Linked DNA regions of Drosophila melanogaster. The protein of the gene in region 1 interacts with the protein of each later gene in a pairwise test. Each region holds a gene or a part of one and is shown on either strand. Other genes may lie near its edges.

Region 1 (5,353 bases):
ATTGCCCCTCTGATATTTCTCTCCTATGATGTCTTTAAACGCTTTTAATTAAAACCAATGCGCATGTGTAACTTTCTTAAGCAGACCCCAAAGACGTAGTCAGTTTTTTTTTTTTTTATAAATATATATATATATATATTTATATGGTTTTTTTTTTGCTTTTTGGTCTAGTCGCAGCCGTCGCTTTGAACTTGGCCGACAGGCGCGTTTGTTAAATGATTGATGTGGTATTAATTTTAATAAACGTTTCTCGTTCCTCGCTGCTCCATCAATATGCAGATCCGTTGGAGAACGAGAACGAGACCGAAAGACCAAGAGACCAGGCCAGTTTATAGCAGCCAGCTCGTTTCGTTCTGCGGTTCTTGGCAAATACATTTTTTTTTTTATGGGCACACGCAATTGCGTGGCGTCTGCACTTTGGTTCGACAAAAAAAAAAAAGGTGAAAAAATCGGAGAAAAATGAACGTTGGAAAGGAGGGAGGGGGGAGGGGCAGGTGGTGGCCAGGGGCAGCAGATTGAAAGTGCCTCAATCACATTGCGTCCATTTGGCGTTGCTGACTCTATTAAAAGTGTCATGCGATTCGGGCTAATCCTTCAGAACAGAGATAGTATATCTAAAGTACAATCAACCCTAATTTATTTATTTAATTATTCGTTTGGCTAAACTTTTAAAGTATACACTTTAGAACACACTATATTCTTCTTTAAATACTTTACAAACCCTGATTCTGATTTTAATGACTTCTAGCATTGACATCAAAGTTTTCATTTGGGGAATTTAACAAATTATTTTTAGCCAACTGATCTAGCCGCTGACCTTTTGCTGTGAATTACAGGGTTTTGAACCAATATCATATGATGTGGGCCAGCACGATGGACTTGCATAATCAGCTAACTGAAATTCGAATTGAAATCGAGAGCAAAAGCCCGGAGGAGCCGTACAAAAACGATCATTAGCGGAAATCTGTCTTAGTTTTTCGGTCCAGATCAAAGGCCGGACGAGATTGATGAGCGAATTTTGGATCGGGGCCAAAAGATCATTATGAACGGCTGCCTGATGCGTTTTAGCCTTTAAGTGTTTGCTTCCGCTGTGCGATAAGCGATACGAGTCGAAAAGTCAGCGTGGAAATACGATCTCTACAGATTTGCCAAAACCCCAAATGAAACAAAAAAAAAAAACAACAAAAAAAGATTTTAAGTAGACCCAGGAATGATTCCATCGTTAGCTTCACACCTCAAGTGAGCCTGAATAATTGATTTTGAGAGCGAGAAACGAGAAACGGCAAACGGCGCCTACCTGGTACCTCAGTATCTCAGCCTATCAATAGTATCTGTATCTGCAGCTATGTATCTGCGGCGCATACCGTGAAATCCGTTGGCACACAGAAAACAGTGAAAAAATCCGGGGCTGAACAAGCCGCGTCCAATCGATTTGTATCCCGTTCCCCGGCATTAGATACTACCAAACAATCCCGATGAGTTCCAATCATCATCGCCTCACAAAAGGAATCCAGCTGAGCGGCTGACAAAAGGTGTGCGCTACTGTGAATTCCTCGGATGCGAAATCGTATCCGTAACTGAATACAAATCGAAATCCGCGGCGTCTGTTGTCATTGTTTGTTTATGGCTGTTTATTGTCAATGCTAATGCCGTGTAAGTGGCTGATTTGTCCGATTACTGTACGTATGTACATATATTTTATAAGCGACAATTGGTAAGGATTTGGCAGCCGCAACTGTGAGATACAGAAATACTTGCCGTAAAGTAACTTCTTGACTTCTCTGCGCGAATGATTTATGTCGAAGTGCACGAGTGTCTGCGGGAGGCATTCATCAAATCATGACTAAGTCAGCAAATGCCTGCCAGTCACTTGTGCGCAGTGAGCCCACATATGTATCTATGAGATACTTTCGGGCTAAACTCTGCAGCGATAACTATGAAATGTTTAGCGAAGCGAATAGTGGGTGTAATAAATTGCTCTTAGTACATTGGCATTTTTCGTTTTTGGGTGCAAAAAACACTAGTTTTTCTAGAACAGTTGATTAAGACCCAATTATGCTTGTAATTCTGTATATTACAAATATTAACTTTCTGACATGACAATTGTATCTAAAGTAATGGTCACCATAATTGGCATAATTTTATAATTTCTTATACAGATTGATACATTTGTATCTCTACACCCTGTAATTGTATCTGTATAATAGAATCTACTACTTTTGGGCTATGCTGTCGATAGTTTTCTATTCGATGGATGGCAATTGTGTGTAAAGTGACGGTAAGTGTGCATAATTGAGGCCCAGTGTTAAAAGAAAGATACACTTCGATAAGAACGCTCTGACCAAATCGTATCTGTAGTGACCTATCTTGCAGATACATATCTCGAGGTGCGGTTTTGGTATCTTCGGATTTGGGATTTGAGATTTCGGCTTACCGGATTAACTTGTGGCTTCTGCAAGTGTGTGGCGATATTGCTGATGTTCATGCCCATGGCCGGAATCTGGGATCCGTAGAGCTGACCGGCGGTCGGTGTCATGTCCGTTAACATGGTTGCTGTGGATGTTCCTGCTGCGTCTCCTGCTGCTGCTGATGTTGCTGCTGCTGCAGTGGCAGTGGCAGTTGTCGTTGCTGCTGCGGCTGCTGCTGCTGCTGCTGATGTCAATTTGAGGCGCACAATGATGCTGTCTGTTTTGCTTCTGCTTTGTTTTGCGGCCACTTGGGTTTAGGGTTCGATTTTCTATTCTTTTCTTCTTGCTCAACTCAACTACTTTTTTCTTTGTTGCGACTATTGTTGCAGGCCAGGCTCACTGATCTTGGAGAGTAAGGGAAAAAAGATGTAAAGGACATGGACAAATGGATTGGCAAGCACAGCACAGCACAGCACAGCACAGCACAAGCACACACGCACTCAGAAAAAAAGCAAAGTGGGCTAAATCGCTTGAGAGCAGATTATGGCCCAGCTAATAGCCCAGATATGTATAATCCGTATCTGTATCTGTATCTTTTCTCGAGTCCGTCGGCGTTGCACTTTTCTTCACTCGGCCGTCGGCTGATGTTTGCTGCTGAGAGTTGCAATGTTTGACTGCTCTTATTGTCACTGGGATTTTGTGCCTATATATGGGCTTAATTTTTTTTTTATTTTTTTTATTCTTTATAGACTTCTTTTCTAAGGAACACAGGCAAAAAAAAAATGAAATATAAGCGATGGAAATTAAAGGAAACTCGAACCAAAAATGCACACAGTTGTTTTGTTTAGCTTGGCTGCTTGTTGGCTTGTTTATGTTTGTTTGTTTGCTTGTTGGTTTATTGTTTATTTATTTGCTTGTTTGTTTTTATGTTTATTTGTTTATTTATTTGTTTGTTTGGTGACAGGAGGCGCCTGCCAACGAAAAAAAAGTGTCGCTGCTGTATCCGCGCCAAAAGTAACGCCGTCGTCGCTGATCGTTCAAAGGCTTGCAACTGTTTCACGCGAACAAAAAGCTTGTCTAAATGTCGCCGCTGCCACCAACGCTGCCACAGTCGCTGCCGCTGCCGGCGTAGCTGCCGCAGCGGTGCGAGTGAGATAGCACACAGTCGTAAATTCACTCCAACTAACCAAAATTCAACGTGGGGGCCAACGATGCCATCAGTGCAAGCGAGACGCTCGTACAGACAATCCAAAAACAACAGCAACAACAAAATATAAAACAACACACACCACTCTCTAGAGTGGTGCGAATGGGTGCCAGGGGTAAAGATATATATATATATATATATATGCATTCGTGTATTCGTATTTTGGTGGTGTGTGCGCCTTTCCCTTCCAGTTTCATTCATAAAAACCCCGGCTGCTTTGGGTAAAACCAGTTCCCAGAGCACAGCCCCCTCTATATGAACGCTTTGGCCAATGGCAGATCGGACGGGCCTAACCTATAATTAGAGCGATGGCCGCTGTGCGAGCGAGATGGCACGCACACGGACACGTGCCCCTCGTGCCGTCTCTTTCGACAGTCCTGCGGCCCTCTCTTTCATCGCGTGCCTGCGTTAAAAACTGAAAACAAATGCACACACGGCAACAACTACTATTGCGTTCAATTAAATGTTCGCCAATGTTGTTTTCCCAGAACTGGATAGCTGAAAATCGTAGGAAAAACAAAAGGGTATACGAAATATATGTATGAGAATAGAAATGAAAATCCACGCAAGATGACAAATTGTTTTCCATTTCGACTTTTCGTTACTATCGGTCGCAGCGAAAGGGAGTTTTGCGGGGAAATGGTCGTGTTTTTACCTCGAAAACGACTAAATTAAAGAAAAGGAAATTTGGAAAAGACCAGCGAAACTTAGATTGCAACAGCTTTGCCCCCAAAAGTAGACTAACTCTGGAAATTGCGACTTTAAATGGTCTTAGCTTGAGCAAAATAAATCCAGGTGTGGTTTTATCACAGCGTTTAGAAATGGAAAATATTGCTAAATATATATAGATAGTTAAGAATGTTCGAAAATCATAACAAATACTTGGAAGATTTCACCGGATGTAAGGCTGCAGAAAAGGGTTTAACAATTGGAATTTATCTGACACATTTGAAAATTCTGTTTCAGAAAATTCACGAAATTCAAAGTATTTGTAAGATTACATAGCATGTTATTTTAGTAATATTTTAGGAAAACTAAAAACAATGTACATATGTACTTAGACTCTGATTTGGAAGATCCCGAGAAGTCGTGATTATTCGGAACCCAATCCAGATTAACCCGTGCCAGTTGGGCCTCCCACAGCTGGAAGCTGCCGGTCGAGCTGTTGCATTTCAGGGCTGCAGCTGAGAAGCGGGCTAATTGAACCACACCCCCTGTACCGCCCCGCCTCTCGCCGCCCCACCCCTCCGGCCTTTCTATGCAAACAAAACGCCCAGGCAGCCGAAAAACGCCAGCCCCTGTGAGAAAAGCTGAAAAGTCCAAAAACCAGCAACGGACTGTCGATGGAGGTGGATGATGTGGCAGTAGAGATGTGGAAGTGTGCCCAGCACAAGTTGCCTGGCCGCGGGAAATTCTCTGCACAGCGGGAAAATTGAGGAAAAGTGGGCCTTGTGCCAATCAGTATGCACGTATCGAGCATAATAACTTGATAATGAAATCAATTTTAAAGATAACCAACACCTATTATTAGTTTTAATTTTCAATATGATTATAAATAAAAGATAAATAAAAATACAAGAAATATTTGACTTTAACTTTTCCGGTGTTTTAAGCGATAACTATTGCTTTCCAATTCCTGTTTCTTACAGTGACCTGTAGTGCTGCCCAACTTCGAATCACGACCGTGCTGCAGGACAAATGCAACACATTAAGTGGTGGCGTTGGGTGGGTGGGTGTT
Region 2 (7,682 bases), on another chromosome or scaffold:
AGAGCCATTCGTTGTTCCTTTAATTACGTTGATTAGTTTTATCGTTTCAAAACATTTGTATATAGGTAAGACTTACCTCAAAAACCGGCTCCCACTGCTCCATGCCGCCCACTGCTTCGGAGCGCCCCGTGACCATTCCATCCTTCTCAATTTTCAAGTACTTGCCATAGCCAGACTTAAACGCTACCTTTCGGTCGTTGATGGGAAAAGCCGTGAAAATCTCCTCGGGATCTGGGCCATCGCCAGCGTTGTGTGGTGCTCCCAATGTGAAGAGACTAAAATGTTAATGGACACCCGGTATAATTAAAGTACCAATGGGCAGATCTTTTTCACTATTACCCATTGTCCATGGCCTTTAGGTAACTCCTATCGCCAAACTCTATGGACACTGTACCGGTGATGTCGGCCGCTGTCTTTGCTGCCCACCAACCGCCGTGCTTCACGGCATCCTCATCCACTACTACCTTGGCCTTTTTGGAAGATCCAGCCTCATCCTTTTCCTTCTTGCGTTTTTTGCTCTTTCTACAAATCGAGAATTTCAATTGATGCTATTGGCAGATTTGTAGTTACATACTTGAGTTTCTCGCCTTTTAGAACCAATTTCTTAATGCGTGCATGATCGTAGTCTGACATCGTCACAAAATAGGTAAATTGTTGATATAGTTTTGGTTTACAACACAATAAACAAACATGCGATACAACATCGCAGATGAGCTGGTCTATCGGCTATCGATATCTTACCAATAAAATACTGTAAGCGTACATTTTAAAAAGTACGGACTCAAACCATTCATTAACTTGGTAAAAAAATTAAAATCAAATGATTTTTGATCTGTGAGAGATAAGACATATTTCATCTTTCATCACATACATATATTTATTCTCGTAATTCATTATATATTTGCTTACAAAAAGGAAATACAATCACGGCTGCTGGATTTGTTAAACTAAACAAAAGACTTAAACTAAACATTTGACTTAGATACATACTTTTATAAATTATTATTATAAATTATAAATAAATATGTGTAAATAATACGTTTCAAATAGCTTAAATAGGAAACATCTTATTTTCATATACTTTGGAAAAAGCGTTGGCATGGTCACATATAAGCTTGTAAATATGAATAAATACAACAAACAGGATCGTCCGTAAGTAAATAGGAATGCACAAATAAAGTATTCAACTCCATCACATATATCCTTCGACAGAGACATTTTGCCATTGGCCCTGAAATGGAGAGGGTATTTTTTTTTAATTATAAATTCAACCAACCCAATGTTTAGATTGCATACCGCAATGCCAAGGTTCCATCCTACGCCTGCAGGATTTTCCTCTGTAATTCCGCAGCGCCTGCAAATGATACCATTGAGGGAGATGGCCCACACCTCGGAGCCCACGGACACCGAGCGGAAGCCACAATGCTGATCCGTGTGCGGTGGCACATTGGCGGCATTGGGCAGAAACTGCCAGTGGGAGCCCTCAGGGAAAGTCCTCGAAATCTCCTTACGCACAGCCAAACGTTGCTGGTTGTCCAGCGCCCAAATCCCAGCCCGACCCACGCTTATCGCTTTAAAGGTCACACCCGCGGGTGCCTCCACTTGTTGCCAGGCATCGCCGCACGGATTCTGCCTGCTGATGCCATACCGGAAGAACACCATGCCGTTGCGCGCCACAGTCCACACCTGACCTGTGGGCCCCACGCTGATCCCAACTAACGGCTGGTCGCTGGTTATGTGCTCCCAGGCATCGCCACGAGGGTTTAAGCTGCATACACCATGCCGGATGAGGACATCACCATTGGAGGCAATCGCCCAGGCAGCCACTGCTGTGTTTCTCTCACCCGAACAGCTGTGATCCACATCTTCATCCAATACCTAGTAGGAAAATGTTTAAAAAACAACCATGTTGAGAATTTTTTAAGTAGAACCATACCTGCAGGGCAGCATCAAGGATTTTGGACTGACTAAGCTCCTGCCATGGTCCGCTGCTGCTAAGACGACATCGCTTCATCCATCTTCGTCGACGCACGCAATCTGTGAGTTTTTTGTGAGCATGGTAGTTGGCGGGGAAGTCGATGGCGTATTGCCAGCCCTCCTTGTCCGCGCCCCCAGGAATGTTGTAGTCAATGGCCCAATCGGAGATCCATTCGCAGTGCGTAGACAGCAGCTTGGTGTGCTCCTTGCTCCGCTTCTGCCGCCCAGTAGCATCGCTCCACATGTGCCGATCCGTCGGCAGGCTCTTCGCCGTGAAACCACTGATTGGATTCCAACGTTGATTTTCGTACACATAGTAGGTGTGTGTGTCAATCATTGGGTTAATTTTGCCGGACCCCTCCAAGCCCTTTAGGAACATTCCTCCCCAGCCTCCGTTGTAAACCCAGCCAGTGTTGTCACAGGATATGCCCCACACCACATCCACGCCGCTGTTGAAAATCCTCTTAATGTGACCGCCCATTTGGCGCCAGTGCATGCGCTCCATTGAGACAATTAGGGAGGGGCAGCGGTAGAGTACATTGAAAAGCTTAATACGGCCACTCACATAAAGCCGCGTCACGCTTTCCGGATCGATGCGGTACTTGTAGTCGGTATATACGGCATTGTTCACGATGATCAAGTAGTGATCTTGCAGAGCCCTGTAAGGATATTCAAGTATGTATTAGGCATTCGATTTCATTCCCAGGATTCTATTCCTACCTTATTTTCAACGAAAAAGTTGCTCCGGGAGCAAAGGCCATTTTGTCATTGCGAATCTCGTCCAGCCATTCGGACTCCTTCATCGAGTTGAGCACCGTGGTGCGTTCGTTGAAACGGGGATTCAGGTGCAGAGCAATGACCCGATGCTTCTCCACGCGATGAGGCTGAACTTTTACTGCAGAATGCGACTGCAAGTCGAAACGAATCTGATCAGCGTCATCGTACACACAGCCAGATATCTCTAGCTCAGTACCACATGGCATTCTGAAATTAACATATACAGGAGGTAATTATTAAAAAATTAAGCTTTTAGAATTAAATGGAATACGAAGCTTCTGGTAAATTGCCTGCTTGGATAAATTGAACAATTTGAATTCAACAAAACTCCAGCGCTAGATTTATCCATCACTCAAAAATATTTTTCTATCATAGCAGTTTAAACAATATAATACCTACATACTTCACAAAACAATCCTACCACATAAATTTTAATAGAATCTTCGACCGACAGGTAAGTTTTTAAGCCCACTTACCCATTGTAAAGAGTATTGTAGTATGGAGTTTCGCAAGTGGAAACATCCATCTTCTCCACGTATCCCTCGCTGGGTTCACTTGTCTGATGTGCCTTCATGTTGGCGGGATCAAACACAAAGACATCGCCCAACTCGCTGGTTATCCAGATCGCATTGCCAGCCGGTTTTCCCACCATAGTGTTGATCTGGCTACAGACTGACGACAGGTGGGACAACCAGTCCTCCATTTCCGAGTCACTGGAGAACTGTAGCTTAACGGGCGAACAGTTTACGGGAAGATGAGGAGCATGAATAGCGATCCGCGGTGCTCCGGCTTCACTGCAGCACTGAACACAGGTGATGTCTGACAACGGGAACTGAATCTTCGTGGCGGCTCCATCCGGACTAAGTACCGTAAAAGTTCCAGAGTCCCCGGATCGCGAGTTTTCACTACTATTTGTGTCAGTGCCACTGCCACTGCTTACCCACTCAAGTTCGATGATACAATCCTCAAACTCGCCTCCAGGTCGCTGATAGCGCGCATCCGCCGATTTGACCCACGAAGAAAGCTCCACTGCCTTCTCGAACTTGGCCACAGTCTGAAGCTTGGCCAGTTTCTCCTGACGTCGCTGCAACTTGTTCACAATATCCTTTCGCCAATTGGCATTCACGTCCACTTTACTGTCGCTCGTCTGCTCGTTAAACCAATTGGGCATGTTGCTGGCATCCACAGTCACAGCACCTGAAGCTACGCAGCTCCATAGTATCCCGCATTCTGTCCAAAATTGTGATCCCGTATGGTCGTCATCTTCTCCCAGAAACACATCCGATCCATGGTGCGTGGAGTCCGACTCAAACACGGTCGAATCGCTCTCTGGATGCGCTTCAGTGCCCACGACGGACCCAACACTTCGGACGGGAGACCAAGCTCTTGGATTCCTCAGCTGGGTCTCAAACTTGCCAGTTACCACCTCCACCACATCCGCTGCGGGAGCACTGGAAGCATGTGAAGTTTCGCGAAGCGCCGCCGTTCTCTGCTTGTGGCGATCGTTGAGATTCAGACTTCCAATTGTCGGAGGTGAATCGGCACTGAGTTTCCAACGTTCGTTCTTAAGAAGACCAGGTGGACCGCCATTACTAGAGCAGGAGCCCGTAGAGCTGTTGAGCACAGTTTCTATAACTGCACACGTCTCTACCACACCCTTCTCCTTCTCCTTGGAGTACAAATTGGAGAAGCTCTGGTGCTTTGAGCCTGGCGTTGAACTACTTCCGCCGCTTTTACGAGAGACTATGGATAGAGAGCTAGAAGTGCGGCTGATTTGCATGGGACATTGAATTAAACGCCATTTTTTGCCAGTAGGGTCGGCAGAGGTCACCCCAGAGCGGTGGTACAAACAACGGTCAGCGGCTCCAATGGCAAAGACCTGCGAAAGAGTATGTTCATATCTAAGATAATTGGGTAGATCTAACACTGGTTTACCTGATCGTTGGCCGCCACAGAGACCATTGAAATGTTTCCCACCATTTCCACCCAGCCCTTGCCAATGGCCGAATCCTCGCTTATGCCCGCTGCTTCACCCTTGACGCCTCTCCTGAACCAGGCGTGATGATCATTGGTTACACACCACACAGCATCGGTGCCCACGGAAACGTGAACAATGCGCAAGCTACTGGCGGCCACGGGGGTTTTGACATCCAACCACGAGTCACCGACTAGGTTGTCTCTGGTTACACCAGTACGTACGATAACTCGGCCGTTATGGAGTACCGCCCATACCAATCCTGTGGGTCCCACGCTGATCTGCGCGAGTTCACTGCCCGTGGGCGTGGGTACAGCTGTCCAGCGAAGACCCTCGGGCGCCGTTTTGGACACCCCCGTGCGAAACATAGCCCTGCCATGGGCGGTAATGGCCCAGACACACAAAGTGCCGGCAGGAGCGTTGGGAACACAAGTGCCGCCTATAGCCACGTCTATGAAGGGCTCCTGCGTGGGATCCTTGTGTAGTGGTGCCACCGCGCACCAGCTATTCAAGGCTGCATACCTCCTATATCTCACCCACTTGCGTCGTCGCACATACGAGTTCCAAGACTTCTTTGCCGAGTACGTGGCCGGAAAGTCCAGGGCGTACATCCAGCCATCCTCGGTCAGCGGCTGTCCATCGAGCTCTAAGTCCAGGTGCCAGTCGCCGTCCCATTGCCACGCCATCGAGGGCAGTCGGATTTTGTCCACACCACGCTCCACACTGCCATCGGCGGAGGAATATCTGTACCGATCAGTGGGCAGCAGCGTCTTCGAAAATCCTTCGATGGGCAGCCAGCGCTCGTTCTCGTACGACTCCTCCCGAATCCGAATGGGCACGTCCAGACCGTGCACATGAACGTACACCTGGCGGTCGCCGCCAATGGCCCACAAAAAGTTGGGCACAGCGCAGATCTTCTTGAACTCCAATCCCAGATAGGGAAGTTCGCGCCACGCTCCGGAGTTGGTGGACAGCGTGTAGACGCGCCCTTCACTGCTGGCGGCGAATAGGTAGAAGCTCGGCATCCTGAGATCTATTACTAAAGACCAAGGGGCCTCTTTCTGTCTGGCATCGTGTTTACAATCAAATTGGAAAAATTGATTTTTCTGAAGAATAGACCTAGACAGTCAGTGATGGCACACCTGTTTTCCGAGTCCTAAGCGATAGTATCGTTGTGGTTGTTGTGTTTCCACTAAAAACAGCCAAAATGCAAATGTTTAATATTTTATTTTTATATCTTAAAATTGTTGTTTATTTCGAAGCCCGTTTAAAATAAAGCATGTCAGAAAATTATGTGTTAACAAGAATGTGTAATAAGTAATTCCAAGGAAATGCGACAGCCCTGTTAATTCTATAGTGCCGTTAAATTTCGCAAACCAGGGTCTATCAAATCCAAGACACCGATAGTCCTTGCCCCCATCAGTGTTAAATGTATCGATACTATCGCGAGTGGCCAACCCAGCTCTAATTGACGCCAAGAAATTTTGATTGATTTTGAAAAATATGGTAAAAATTGAACCGTTCTTTCCCCTAACTGCACGGGCGGATCCCTTTAACCGAGCGCACCCAGTTTAAGATCCATTTACCGGTCGCAGTTAAAAAGGAAAGCCGTAAACTGAGCCCCTCGGCGTTGCGACGTTCGACGCAGAAAAGCGAGCACGCGCAGGCCAGACGGTCGGTCGGTCGTATCAGCTGCTGGCTGTGGCTCCCGGAGGCCGACCACGGACCAATCCCCCGTAATGGCCGTGCTCCCCGGTCCGTAGTCCCGGTATTGCGAACCGAGTCGAGACCGAGGCCCTTCCAGCAGCCGGTATTTCGTGCTCTGGTGTAGTAAAACATATGTACGCACGCCTACAGAGTACAAACGTTCATCTGGTAGACACACATATATCGACCATATATATACTATAGCCACTATATGTATACCGCGATGTCCTGTGCATCCCGTGAAACCTCTTCGCTGCATCCGCGTATCGGGGGTGGTCGGTCTGCCCGAAAAACTCCCCTAAAAATATCATACCACCAAGTGATTGAGGCTCCATTTTAACCGGATTCTTTCATACCCCACAGATAACTACTTCGGAGCTAAAGTAAACTGGTCATATTGGGAAACATTGCGGTAAGTGCAATTCAAACATTTTCGCTAATAGCGAATGAACTAAGTGTGCTATTCACAGCAAAACTCAAATCCGACGGACGGAACGGACTGACTCTGGAAAACACATCACAATAAGTCATGCCACGGGGAAAACGCCGAGCTGCAGATACTATTAGCGACAACATGGATCATGGTCAACCGAAGAGGGCCCGAACCAGCTACACCAGCATACCCACACAACAGAGCAGCAGGTGAGTGGTGGAAAATAGGAAACAAGAACAAAGGCCCTTTGGTGTTGTATCATCTGTTCCGGGGAAAAGCATCTGGTTTCCGGTGTAGAGATTCCTAAGCCATTGATGCCTGATATATTTCAATGGAACGGCCAGATTTACCCACACCTGGCACTGAAGAATTTGTTATTTTATTAATTAATACGTTATCATTTTCATATTCACATCTTCGCGACGATTTGGTTTCATGGTTTATATACTTTTCATAAAAAAAAAACAAATACTGGCATTTCTGTAAAATGAAAATTGATTCACTTGCTCTATTCATAGATTCACAATAATCATCCTATTATTCACCCGTCTTGTGTTGTATCCAATAATGTTCTTATCCAAGTTATAATTATTATTATGTTATCTCAACATTAATCAAAATCTGTGGCAAAATCGAAAGGCATTCAAAGGCAAAAATTATTAGTCTCTGCCGATATTAAAAAAAAAAAGTTTTTTTTAGCTGAATATAGATATTATTTAACACAGTCCAATTATTAAATCCATCCAACAATGTAATTTAATTTATAAAATTAAGTTACCAATCGATTCCATCGTTGCGCGTGGTGCCATTAGT
Region 3 (5,241 bases), on another chromosome or scaffold:
ATCAATCGTGCGAACTTTCCAGGGGACCGCCCCCTCGGAACGCGGATATCACTGCGGTGGGGGCATCGCCGCCACGACCTGTTCCCAGATCCTCGCAGCCAGTGCTCGATGCTCGATGGCCAGAGAAAGAAACCAAACGGCCAGCCGAAAATAAAAGGGCCAAATCAGCGTGTAAGATGCCGGGGCCATAAATTTTAAAGTAATTTTCTCCTGGCCCCGAGTAATTTATGGGAAAATATTAAGCTGCCCCAAATACTCCACATCCAGATCCAAATCCAGATCCCAACTAGCGCAGACAACCTAAATTCGACCCCAAAAAACTAGCCAAATAGAGTAATTAAATCGGTGGCTGACCAGCTTCAATCCACTAGTCCTTGCTGGTCGAGGATCATTCCAGCTCATTCCCGATTCCCAGCTGAACCGGCTGAGTTATGGGCACCCCATCCTCCTGCACTTTGGGTCACGATTATCTGCATACGCAGCCGGCAATAATAATCTCAAAATTGGCGCACTTAAGCGAGGATCCTCGGCAGGCGTAATTTGAAAGTTATTTTGTTGCCGGTGCGGTGAAATTATTGAGCAATATGCTGATCTGTAAAATCATAAATAAAAATATTTGTACTTGACCGCAGCGGAGCCAGGGTTTTGCCCTGGAATGAGGATGGGAATGGGATTGGGAATGGGAATGGGCATCCACCTTCGCTCCATCTTCATCTCATCTCCTTCCACCCGGACGACTTTTATGTTATGTTATGAGGTGAGATCTTGGATCCCGGACGCGGGCTCCGGATGGCGAGTCTGCGCCCGCGGCTTAACGATTGATAAAGTCTTTTTATTTACAAGCTGATAATGATGGTGTAGGTGCAGCTTTTGGCATTGCGACGGTTTTCATGTAATTTATGAGCAATTTGCAGACAATTTTCGAGGTCCGAGCTCGTGGAATGCGCGGAAAGTGTAGGACTGACCCAAAGATGTGGGCTAAGTGGGTCTCAAAGGGGGACGCAGTCCGGTCAAGTGAAAGATCTACAAACGGAATTTATGGGAATTAAGCCACTTGCAAATGGAGTGCCCCAAATAGAGCTCGACTAAACTCGGTGAGAAACTCTCAATTGGAACTTATGTTTCTACACTTCTTACACAGTATATCTGTGGGTTTTGATTTATGGTAATTTAAATTGTTCCACCTTGCTCATCGTCTTAGGTTTCAGATAATTCTCCAGACACTGTTTACCATTCCAATCCCATCCAGCACGCTTCCACCGAAAGCCGAAAACTATTTTGTAATATTGATAACCATCTCGGCGGTGGGGAATGGAGCTCGGTCAGGCCATTAAAATGTCACAACAAAACGCCGAACTCATTTTTCGATGCGGCACTGGGCCACAAGCGACCATTAAACCTGCAACTTGATGGGCAGCTTCTATAAAAACAGAAGACTCCGGGCACGAACTAAGCGAACCAAATAGCCAGAAGTGTCAACTGCGGTATGGTAGAGCCAAGAACTCTGGGTAAGCCGATTATGGGCCACGACTTTCGGGAACGGAACGCACATAAAATAAATGTCGCTGGCAGAGATGTCCGATCTCCGGAATCGTGTTAGGCGTGCTCCGCGGCTCAGGAGGCGGGGCTACCCACTACTGGGACTACTGCTTTCATGTGGCGGTGGTGTGGATGTCACCTACTCCTACTCCTGCTCCTCCTCGTTCTGCCTGCGTTGTTATTGCTTGTGTCGCTGCTGATGATTGTCATTAACATCACATTACCACAAGTCAAAGTCATGTTTTTGATCCCAAATAAACCCCGAGAGCTCAGAACTGAGATACAGCGAATGAGACACATAGTCGGCACTTGGTTGGAAAGTTATGGAGCAGATGGGATGGGATGGGAGAAGACGAAGAGTAACCACAGGAATGTGGGGAAAAGGGACAGTTTTCAATGCGATGCTCGATAGCAGTTGGCCACCTTGTTGGCCATCGGGACAAATCTGTTATGACACCTGACTGCGGGCCATGGGTTTTCAAAGGAAGGAGAGGGATTCAAGTGGGGGATTAGGGTACAATGTGTTGACCACACTATAATCATATTGGTTAGTAAACCCATTCTTCCCAAGCCCCTTAAGACCATCAAATCTTTATCCGACTGATCGTGAATGTGTCAAATCTTTCCACTTCCATCCCAAGTGTTTACGCTTGAAACCAAACCTAGTGAGATATTATCTTCTACACGGCGATCTGCATAATTATGCTAAACACATTAAATCCATTCATAAATCTCTGGGCAATCGTCATCCACAAAGGGAACACCTCGGCGAGAATTTCGATGGCCAGATATGAGCTATTATTCATGTCCCGCGTGGCTCGCGCTCCCATTTGTATTTGTCCAAGTCTTTTGTGGGTGATGAAGCCCAGCGGGGTGAATTTACGATCTTGGCCAGGGAAGCACTGAAATAAAATCAATAAACCAGTCGCTGGGCACAGCCAGAAATAATGCTTAAGATGCAAATTATGCAGATGAGTCGAGGCCAAAATATTCGAGCTTGTCACTGGACCGAAAATCGAAATTCACCTGCCCGGCGAAATCATATTTCTTGTTGCCCAATCGTTGGAGGCGTGGTCCCGTCCCCCGTCCCCCATTACCACCATTCCCACAAACTTGGCCATATAGAAACGGGGACTTACTCGAAGAGCTGCTCGATCGCTGAAGACGCCTCTTCCAAAACAACATTGTGTTCCTCCTCTTTTGGCGCTGATAAGATCGTCTGCTGATTGGTTTCGTTATTTCGTTATGTGATCACTGGCTATGCGGGTGTGGGTCTATGGCGAAATGATCCCTCTCGCGGAGCAACACAGCTGATTAGCATAAACTTCGAATCACTCAGGAACCGAGCTCTCCCGAATTGTATCTTTCAGATACAGCCACGGCTGAATGGCAACTGCACTTGCCCAACGCGCACAACAAATTGAGACATTAGCAGCCGGCCAGCGAGGAAAGTTATGACCCGAGCTATGTGGAGTGGTTTCAATTCGTTTTTTCCCTCAGGTGTCTCAGGTGTCAACTGGAGGCGAGGTGTGCTCAATTAGCCGCCCGATTTCAGCACTTCCGTTAAGCCGAGCAACTCGGACTTCTGGCCCGCTCGACGGTTAATTAACGAATAAAAAGTCGCTCCGCTGCCTCGAAAAAAAACCTCCGAGCTCGACTTGAGCTCGCTCTGCCGCCAGCTCTTCTCGTCTGGCGCGCTGGCTCGCTGGCTCGCTGGTCTTCCGCGCTCCCTGCCACAATGGAAACGAACTGAAAATGTGTTACACCGAAACGCCGGGCGGCGCAGTCGACGCTCCGAAAGGGGCAGTCGTCGCACATTGGGGCCAGTGGGGACATAAAACAGGTGTAAGAAGCCCAGACGATCTGAATGCGAGCGACATATGGCTAATAGCCAGCCCATGGGCTGGATCGAGATGGAGATGGCGCGTTTTATGGGTTTCCAGGGTGCGGACACAATTAGATGTTCGTAAAAAGTGGCGTTTTATTTCACTTTTCAAAACAGGGTCCACTCCGCAGACTCGTTTCTTGCGGGCTGGCGACAAAATTATTAATTATCTCACAAACACTGGACAAACATGGCTAACAACTGGCTGGAGTTAAAAGGTAGTTACATCAGTGGTATCAGCTTGCTTACAAGCTGGGTTAGTCCATTAAAAAGCTATCACAGAACTGAGTCTTAAACTTAAAGTGTAATTTTAAAATATTATTAATATTTTTCAACACCTCAAAGATGTAATTCAGTGTGGCGCTGACTGCGCAGTCGCCGCCGGCGTCGCAGTTGGCGTCGCGTTGGTGGCGGTTCACTGAATTTCGCTGACTGTAGGTGGTTGTTGCTGCCCCCAAAATGTGTAACAGCAACAACAAGAGTCTGGCCAAATCGGCCAACAACAACGATCGTTGGCTCGTGCAGAGTTCAAAATGCACGCAACCTGCAAGACAGGCGACTATTGTTTATAGCCCGCTTGGATTTGTTTTTTTTTTTTTGCTCTTAACTCTTTCTTTTCGCTGGCTGCCTGCACATTTATTACTTAACGCTTTGATGCGTTGACGGTTTGATGGTTTGTTCTTCTTGGCCATCAGTTGCCCGCTTGCCGTGTGCCCCTCCGTTTGACATAGTGCACTTGGCCATATTCGCTCGGTTTGGGCCCCCTCATCATCATCGTCATCGTCGTCGTCGTCGTCGTCGTCCTCATAATCAGCCCTCTTTTTTGCTATATGTTCATCAAGCGAATCAGCGTAGCGAAGCATAAAGCCAAATTAACATAAACAACTTCTTTTCGACTTCCATATCTTCTATACACGGAAAATCGCTTTGATTATTACAAGCTATCTTCAAATTAAGATTGTCATATTTATAGTTTGGGATTCATGTTGAAATAATTTCTCTGTAGATACATTTCTTTGCTGTGAGCACTTAACCTAATCATATTTCATTCTTAACCCGATCTTATTTTCGTTCAGTGTGCTGCACGGCTTGCTGCTCTCAATCGCCCACATGGCCAAGTGCTCCTCCTCATCCCATCTTTTGCCCATTTCCTATGCGGCTATGTGGCGGAATTAAAGACCTTTTTACCATATACCATCTAACTATTTTCCGTCTGCTATTCTTCTACTGTCTAATTGGAATATGAATACGAATTTCATTTGTTGGTAGTTTGTAGTTTGTATTTTGTAGTTTATAGTTTGTTTTGCTTTTCTCCGGTTGGGGGATTTTTCTTGTGACAGGTCAGAAAGCCGCGCAAATTATTGGAATCACTAAAGGTAATGATCCAAATTGATGTTAGACTATGGTGGCTTCATCTTCATTGCACAACTGGAACTACATTCATATTTAAATATACGTTTTTGCTTACCAACCCACTTATTATGCACTTTTGTTGCGCGATTTAAATGTGAGTTATAAATATTTATGGACGCAATGAGTGCAGTCATGTGTGAGCCTGCTAATGGAATTCCGTGTTGCAATCGGAGTGCAACTACAGCACTTGGTAGTTATGGCACCCATATATTGTATCCACCATTGTTGCGTTGCCATGTCTGCACACGCAGTAAACAAGTTGGGAAATCGGCGGCACGCGCTCATTCAAATTAATTGAGAAGGATGTCGCGACCTTTGAGGAAGGATTACCGCACCGCGGACTTCGAGCAACTGAGCAGGATGATTAGGGACCATCCGCTGATGAAGGAGCCCGGAGCGGAGCA
Region 4 (5,285 bases), on another chromosome or scaffold:
ACATTCGCACGTGCATCAGATTTCCTGCCCAAACAATTCCCGATTGCTATGTAAATAAATGTTAAAGTCAAACGTGTGTCTTCAATTCAATTTAAAGAGTTTTAAATTTAGCCCTAAAAACTCACTGCAATCACAACAAAACTTCCCACAGAAACCCAAAAGAAAAGCTTAACAATTTTGCATAAATTACGGCTTACAAATTAGGCTTACACAAATAACTTAGTTTATTGGCTTACAGTTTAAAATTATAACTAAAACGTTGCAACTCAGTTCGTTTTCCTTCCGGCCATGAGTAAAACTTTCTTGGAAAAGTGCAAATTTTGTGGTCCAAATTAGTTGCTTGAAGTACTACAGCATTTTTCTTACCAAACCTTTCTGAAATACCTGATAAGAATTGTACACGGATCTGAAAGTTGTGAGTAACCACACTTAGTGCTCCGCTTATGCACATATATGCTGCAAGTCTACACTAAAGACCCCCAGCTTGGGTCCAAAGTAATCCCCAGTAGTTAAACACTCCTAGTTATGCTCCACAAGCGAAATTATAAACATTAGAACGCCACATTATGGCCAAGATTGTGCAGAACTGCAGTTGGTTGTTCTTTAGCTCGGCGGCACTAAGTGCTGCCATTTGGCGAGCAAACGCTTTGGGATCCAATTAAAAGGGGTTCAAAAGGAAAGCATTGTGGGTCACTGAGGAGCAGCGCACTCCATGTAAGTTACGACGCACTTATTCCAAACATAGTGTTTATTTTAACAGCGAATCTTATATGTTTGAAGTATTTATAATCTAATGGTGTCCTTAGGAACAAATGAAAATCTTAGCGTCTAAGTCAATATTTTCCAATCTGCCATTAATCGAACTTTTTATTTTGCCTTTTCGCTTACTTACTTAGCTTGAGAAGTTTACATGTACTCAAAACTTCCACTAGTGTTATTTTGTATTTATTACAAATGTGATTTATTTGCACTGAATTCTTCCTACAGCTAGAGAAACTTAAAATCGTTCATTAGAAATTATTGAATTGAAATCCGCAAGCCGCCGCACCTTGGTTTTTTTAGTCCGAGAAGCTATCGCTCCAATAGGTGGTTGTTGGTGGGGCCACAGCCTTGAAAAGATCCCGTCCTTCGCCGGGACGGCGTTTGCTGCTGTTGTTGCCATGATGGCGGTCGTCCTTGCTGCGCGACTCCTGCTTGAACCGCGACTGCTCCTCCTTGATGCGAACGCTATCCTCCTTGTGCCGCTGACAACCGACGGCCTGGTGACGCTGCAGTCGCTGCTGGGTGAGGAACGTCCGCTGGCAGCGCTTGCACTCGTAAATGAAGCCATGCTCGTCGTGTCGCTGGGCCATATGGTGCTTCAGTTCCGCGCGCAGTCGGAATATCTTGGGGCACAGCTCGCAGCGGAAATGGGCGCGCTCCTGCTCGTGCCGTTGCATGTGCGTTTTATAGGCCCACTCCACCTTGAACTTCTTGCCGCAGATGGGACAGGCATGCTCTATTCTCTCGTGAGTCTTACGATGCAGCACATAGGATTGTTTGCGCGAGAACGTCAAGTCGCAGTTGGGACACTCGAATGGGCCCACTGAAGCCGTCGAAGAGGGCTGGTATTTCTTCTTTTGGGCGCTGGAAGGCTCCCCATCGCTGTCCGTGCCTCTCTTGAGTGGCTTTTTTCGAGGACGCCCACGTGGTCCGGGCTTCTTTTTCTCCTTCTCACTGTCATCCGAATCGGCAGAATCGCTGTCGGCACTCGTGGTTCCGGCTACATCGGATACCTTGAACTCATCATCGAGCTCATCCTCATCCTCACTGGAATCGGTGACAGGTGCGTCTATGACCACATAGCCGCGGGGTCTTCGCACTTTATTCTTGCTTCGGGACAAACGCTTGCGCAGCTCCTGGTCCGTGGTCTCCAGCTGCTTTCTCAGCTGTATGGCAATGGTAAGGCTGCCCATGCACTTGGTGCATATGAATTGCGGCATAAAGTCCTTGGGCAAAATCGAGACATTAGGACAGATGACCAGCAGCATGTCCGCGGGCGTGGCATCGATTTGCTTCTTAAACAGGCAGACTAGCTCTTCCTTGCTGGTGCAAACGCGGCACTGGTCTTCGTCCACGGGTTCCTCTTTCTTGCGCTCCCTAATGGGCACATCGGCCAGATCGCCCGGCTCATCGCCAGTGATTAGTTCACCTTCTGCATCGGTGCCAGTCTCGAAATCTGGTTCAATTTCCTCGACTTCTTCGTTGGGATCCTCATCTTCATCGAGAGCGTCCTCATCTTCTTCAATGGCCTCGTCGCCTTCTTCGGTGCCATCCTCATCTTCTGGCTTCTCTACATCGTCTTCATCCTCTGCGTCGGCCTCGTCGCCATCCTTTTCGGCATCATCGTTGTTATCTTCATGTAAATGAGTTGCCTTCTTCTCCTTGTCGGTGTCTTTTTCACCATCCTCTCCACTTTTTTCCTTGGAAAAATCATCTTTAGCTGCAGATTCTTGCAAATCCTTCTTATTGCTTGATTCCTGGCAACCTTCATTGGCTTTCTCCGTTTGCGGAGTCTCGCTCTCATCCTCCTGCGGCATCTCGCCATCCAGATACTCTGCCTCGCCCATCTCCGCGTCCTGGTCGGCAGTTGCACCGGCATCGTCCTATAATATAAATAAAAATAAACAAACATATATATATATATATGTATGAGTTTCACAAGCTTTTCCAAGTCTTTTAAAGCCGGGCGCACCTCGAGGTAATCCATAATCTGTCCCACAGTTCCGGAGACGCCATCATCAGCGGAACCCACCGACTTGCCCGCCAAATCCTGCCGCGGTTGCGGTTGCTCTTGGTTTTGAGCACTTTCCTGGGGATTTTGGCGCTGCTCTCCGTTGGTTTCCGCCAGGGGCGTTATGTCGGCTTCCATTTTCGCAGTATTTTCCTTATTTCCGCAGAGAAATGTTTTCAAGTGGAGTGGGGGAGTCTTCTTTTTTTTGGCGGGGCACCGGCGACTTTTTCGATATTCACTTTTTCGCTTCGATTTCTTGGCGCGCACTTGATTTTCGGATAGTGTTCCACTTTCGTTTGCACAAATTCACATTTCTCGCACTTTTCTATCTAATACTCAAGCGGAAAATGCAATTCAAATTGCAGTTTTTTCACAGCGTTACAATTTTTTTTACTTGCAGCCATATTGGATAAGTATAGGTACACAGCTGTTTGTCATCGGTAATCGATAGTTGTGCGCATGCCCACTGGCAATCGATAACGTGCGCAGGGTTGCACAGCGGGCGCGTAATTTGAAAAGTAAAGGAAATTCGTTATTTAAAGAATGCTCGCAAATAACATAATTCAGCAGCCCAAAACGAAAGCTTAAAACAATAAAACCGAAATAAAGTTTAGGAGAAGGCGCAAAGTGTCAGTAATACATGCACCTTCTGTCTGCAAAAGGGAAACCTACGCGCGTGTTTGCAATAAAAGTGGGCACAATACATAGGCCACCCCCCTTAAAAGCAGCCGTTTGAAACAAAAAGCATGTCGTCTTGACTTTTCAACACGGCGAAATAAAAATTACGTGATTTGCATAATTTTTCACCCGCTGCTGTGCGCATTAATTTGAGTAATGCCTCTTACATGAACCAGCATCAACCATGCAACACTTTGTTTTTCCTTTTGCCACAACACTTAATCTGGCTTTTAGAATTCCATGCCTTAAATGTTGGCAAATACCCCGTATTACTTGAGTTTACATTCTTCAATTTCAATCAATTCCCAGTACAAGAAATGCAAATAAGCAAACAAATTTCAATAAAGTGGCTCTTCAAAAATATTCCACCGCTCTGAAGGGAACACTACAGAAAAATATTTATTTCAATTACGTCCTGTGGCCGCAAAGAGAAATGTCCGCGGAAATGCCCGAACTTTGCGAAGGACACAATCCATTAGCGCAGACACTACACTGCGAGAAAATGTTGCAGTAACTTGAAATACTTCTATCAAATAGATCAAGTGATAAGTTGAGTAATCAATCAAGTGATAAGTTGAGTAATTAAAACGTAATAAGTTAATGACAAATTTCGGACTAATGAAATCTTTCTGTCTGTCCTTTACTTATTTCTTTGTTTTAGAGCATCTTTTTGGCTGTATTATTATTATTTTTTCGCTTGCTTTAATTTCAGATCCAACAATAAGAATTTTATTCTATAGTTACTTTTTAAAGTTGATCGAAATCACTCTTTTAATGTGAAGTACCCTCGGGCTAAAGATAAAAGTGTGAGTATGACACATTGATTTCTTCGTGTACAATATGCCCACAAGGATAGTATGTGTCTGTCTGGGACGTAATTCTGTTGCTCTTCGACATGATTTACGCCAACAATTATCGCAGCAAGACGTGCTCCGAGATCTACTTGACATTAACATCGTTTTACCGGCTAGAGCTTTTCACCTCCTGGTCGCCTTCACGTCCACCCACTCGCAGGGAATCGCTTATGTTGCCGGATGTTGCAAGGACAGGGACGCGAAGGCGACTCCTAGAAAAGAGATAAATTTAGCGGCCAGGAGACTGTGGCAGTGATAAAAAAGCATGGCCATGTCAGCACAACACAATTCAACTCCCGGCGGCGTCACTCAGTGATTAATTATGCACAAAAGACAAACAGGCAGCATATGCTCCTTGGGAAGGCTTAAGCCTATATATATGTACATACATATATATTATATGTATTCCTGAACCCGTCGAGGATTTGAATGGATTTCAACCTACCCACTGGCGTTCACGTGCGCACATTAAAGGGCACATCAAAAACATATAATAGAATACATTCTAATTGTGGTGATAATTAGAACGAACTCATATTATAAGCATTTAATTATCTATTGAGTGTTTTTCAGCAGCCACATTCCTTTCACCTGTTACACGACAATTACGAAAAGATGCCGCCAGCACAACCAATGTTCAGTTACATAATATAATGGCAATCACTCCGCGGAAAAAAAGCCTATTTTAATTATCATTTTATATTAACTATCAGTCTAATTAATCTTATTTCATATTCAAAAAATTAAACATTGACATTGCATGTTTGTACAAATAACTATCTTTTACCCACGGGAATGAGTTCTAACGAGATTTATTTTATATTTTAGATGAGATTTATTTTACCACTTGATGTTTTGCACAACTTAATTTAATGAGTTGCACCCACCCCATCTTTAATTTTCACCCGGATGCTTTTCAACCAGATGCTTTTAATTTTCCATTTAAACTCATAACCTGAATTAAGTGCTCGAATAGTTAA

Evidence for each region.
Region 2: the proteins of Sp1 (region 1) and Pex23 interact in a two-hybrid assay, tested with the Drosophila melanogaster proteins (one large-scale study listed by BioGRID).
Region 3: the proteins of Sp1 (region 1) and CG7991 interact in a two-hybrid assay, tested with the Drosophila melanogaster proteins (one large-scale study listed by BioGRID).
Region 4: the proteins of Sp1 (region 1) and CG12391 interact in a two-hybrid assay, tested with the Drosophila melanogaster proteins (one large-scale study listed by BioGRID).

The regions. Positions count from the first base shown.
Region 1 is NC_004354.4:9,727,759-9,733,111, reverse strand, and holds the start of Sp1 (Sp1), read right to left. Parts: upstream 3,465-5,353; 5' UTR 3,229-3,464; exon of another isoform or gene 2,813-3,228; 5' UTR 2,549-2,812; coding exon 2,435-2,548; intron 1-2,434.
Region 2 is NT_037436.4:20,296,268-20,303,949, forward strand, and holds Pex23 (peroxin 23), read right to left. Parts: upstream 5,875-7,682; 5' UTR 5,755-5,874; coding exon 4,690-5,754; exon of another isoform or gene 4,634-4,689; coding exon 3,231-4,633; intron 3,209-3,230; exon of another isoform or gene 3,143-3,208; intron 2,962-3,142; coding exon 2,698-2,961; intron 2,637-2,697; coding exon 1,937-2,636; intron 1,879-1,936; coding exon 1,297-1,878; intron 1,232-1,296; coding exon 1,193-1,231; 3' UTR 862-1,192; downstream 1-861. Other genes in the region: FRG1 (FSHD region gene 1), read right to left, coding at 1-17, 77-275, 340-522, 575-633; SCCRO4 (squamous cell carcinoma-related oncogene 4), read left to right, coding at 6,966-7,078. UniProt on the Drosophila melanogaster protein: Involved in peroxisome biogenesis.
Region 3 is NT_037436.4:1,672,605-1,677,845, reverse strand, and holds the start of CG7991 (uncharacterized protein), read right to left. Parts: upstream 3,138-5,241; 5' UTR 2,725-3,137; coding exon 2,679-2,724; intron 1-2,678. Other genes in the region: CG13930 (uncharacterized protein), read left to right, coding at 5,141-5,241.
Region 4 is NT_033778.4:11,146,867-11,152,151, forward strand, and holds CG12391 (uncharacterized protein), read right to left. Parts: upstream 3,203-5,285; 5' UTR 2,912-3,202; coding exon 2,735-2,911; intron 2,646-2,734; coding exon 1,059-2,645; 3' UTR 736-1,058; downstream 1-735.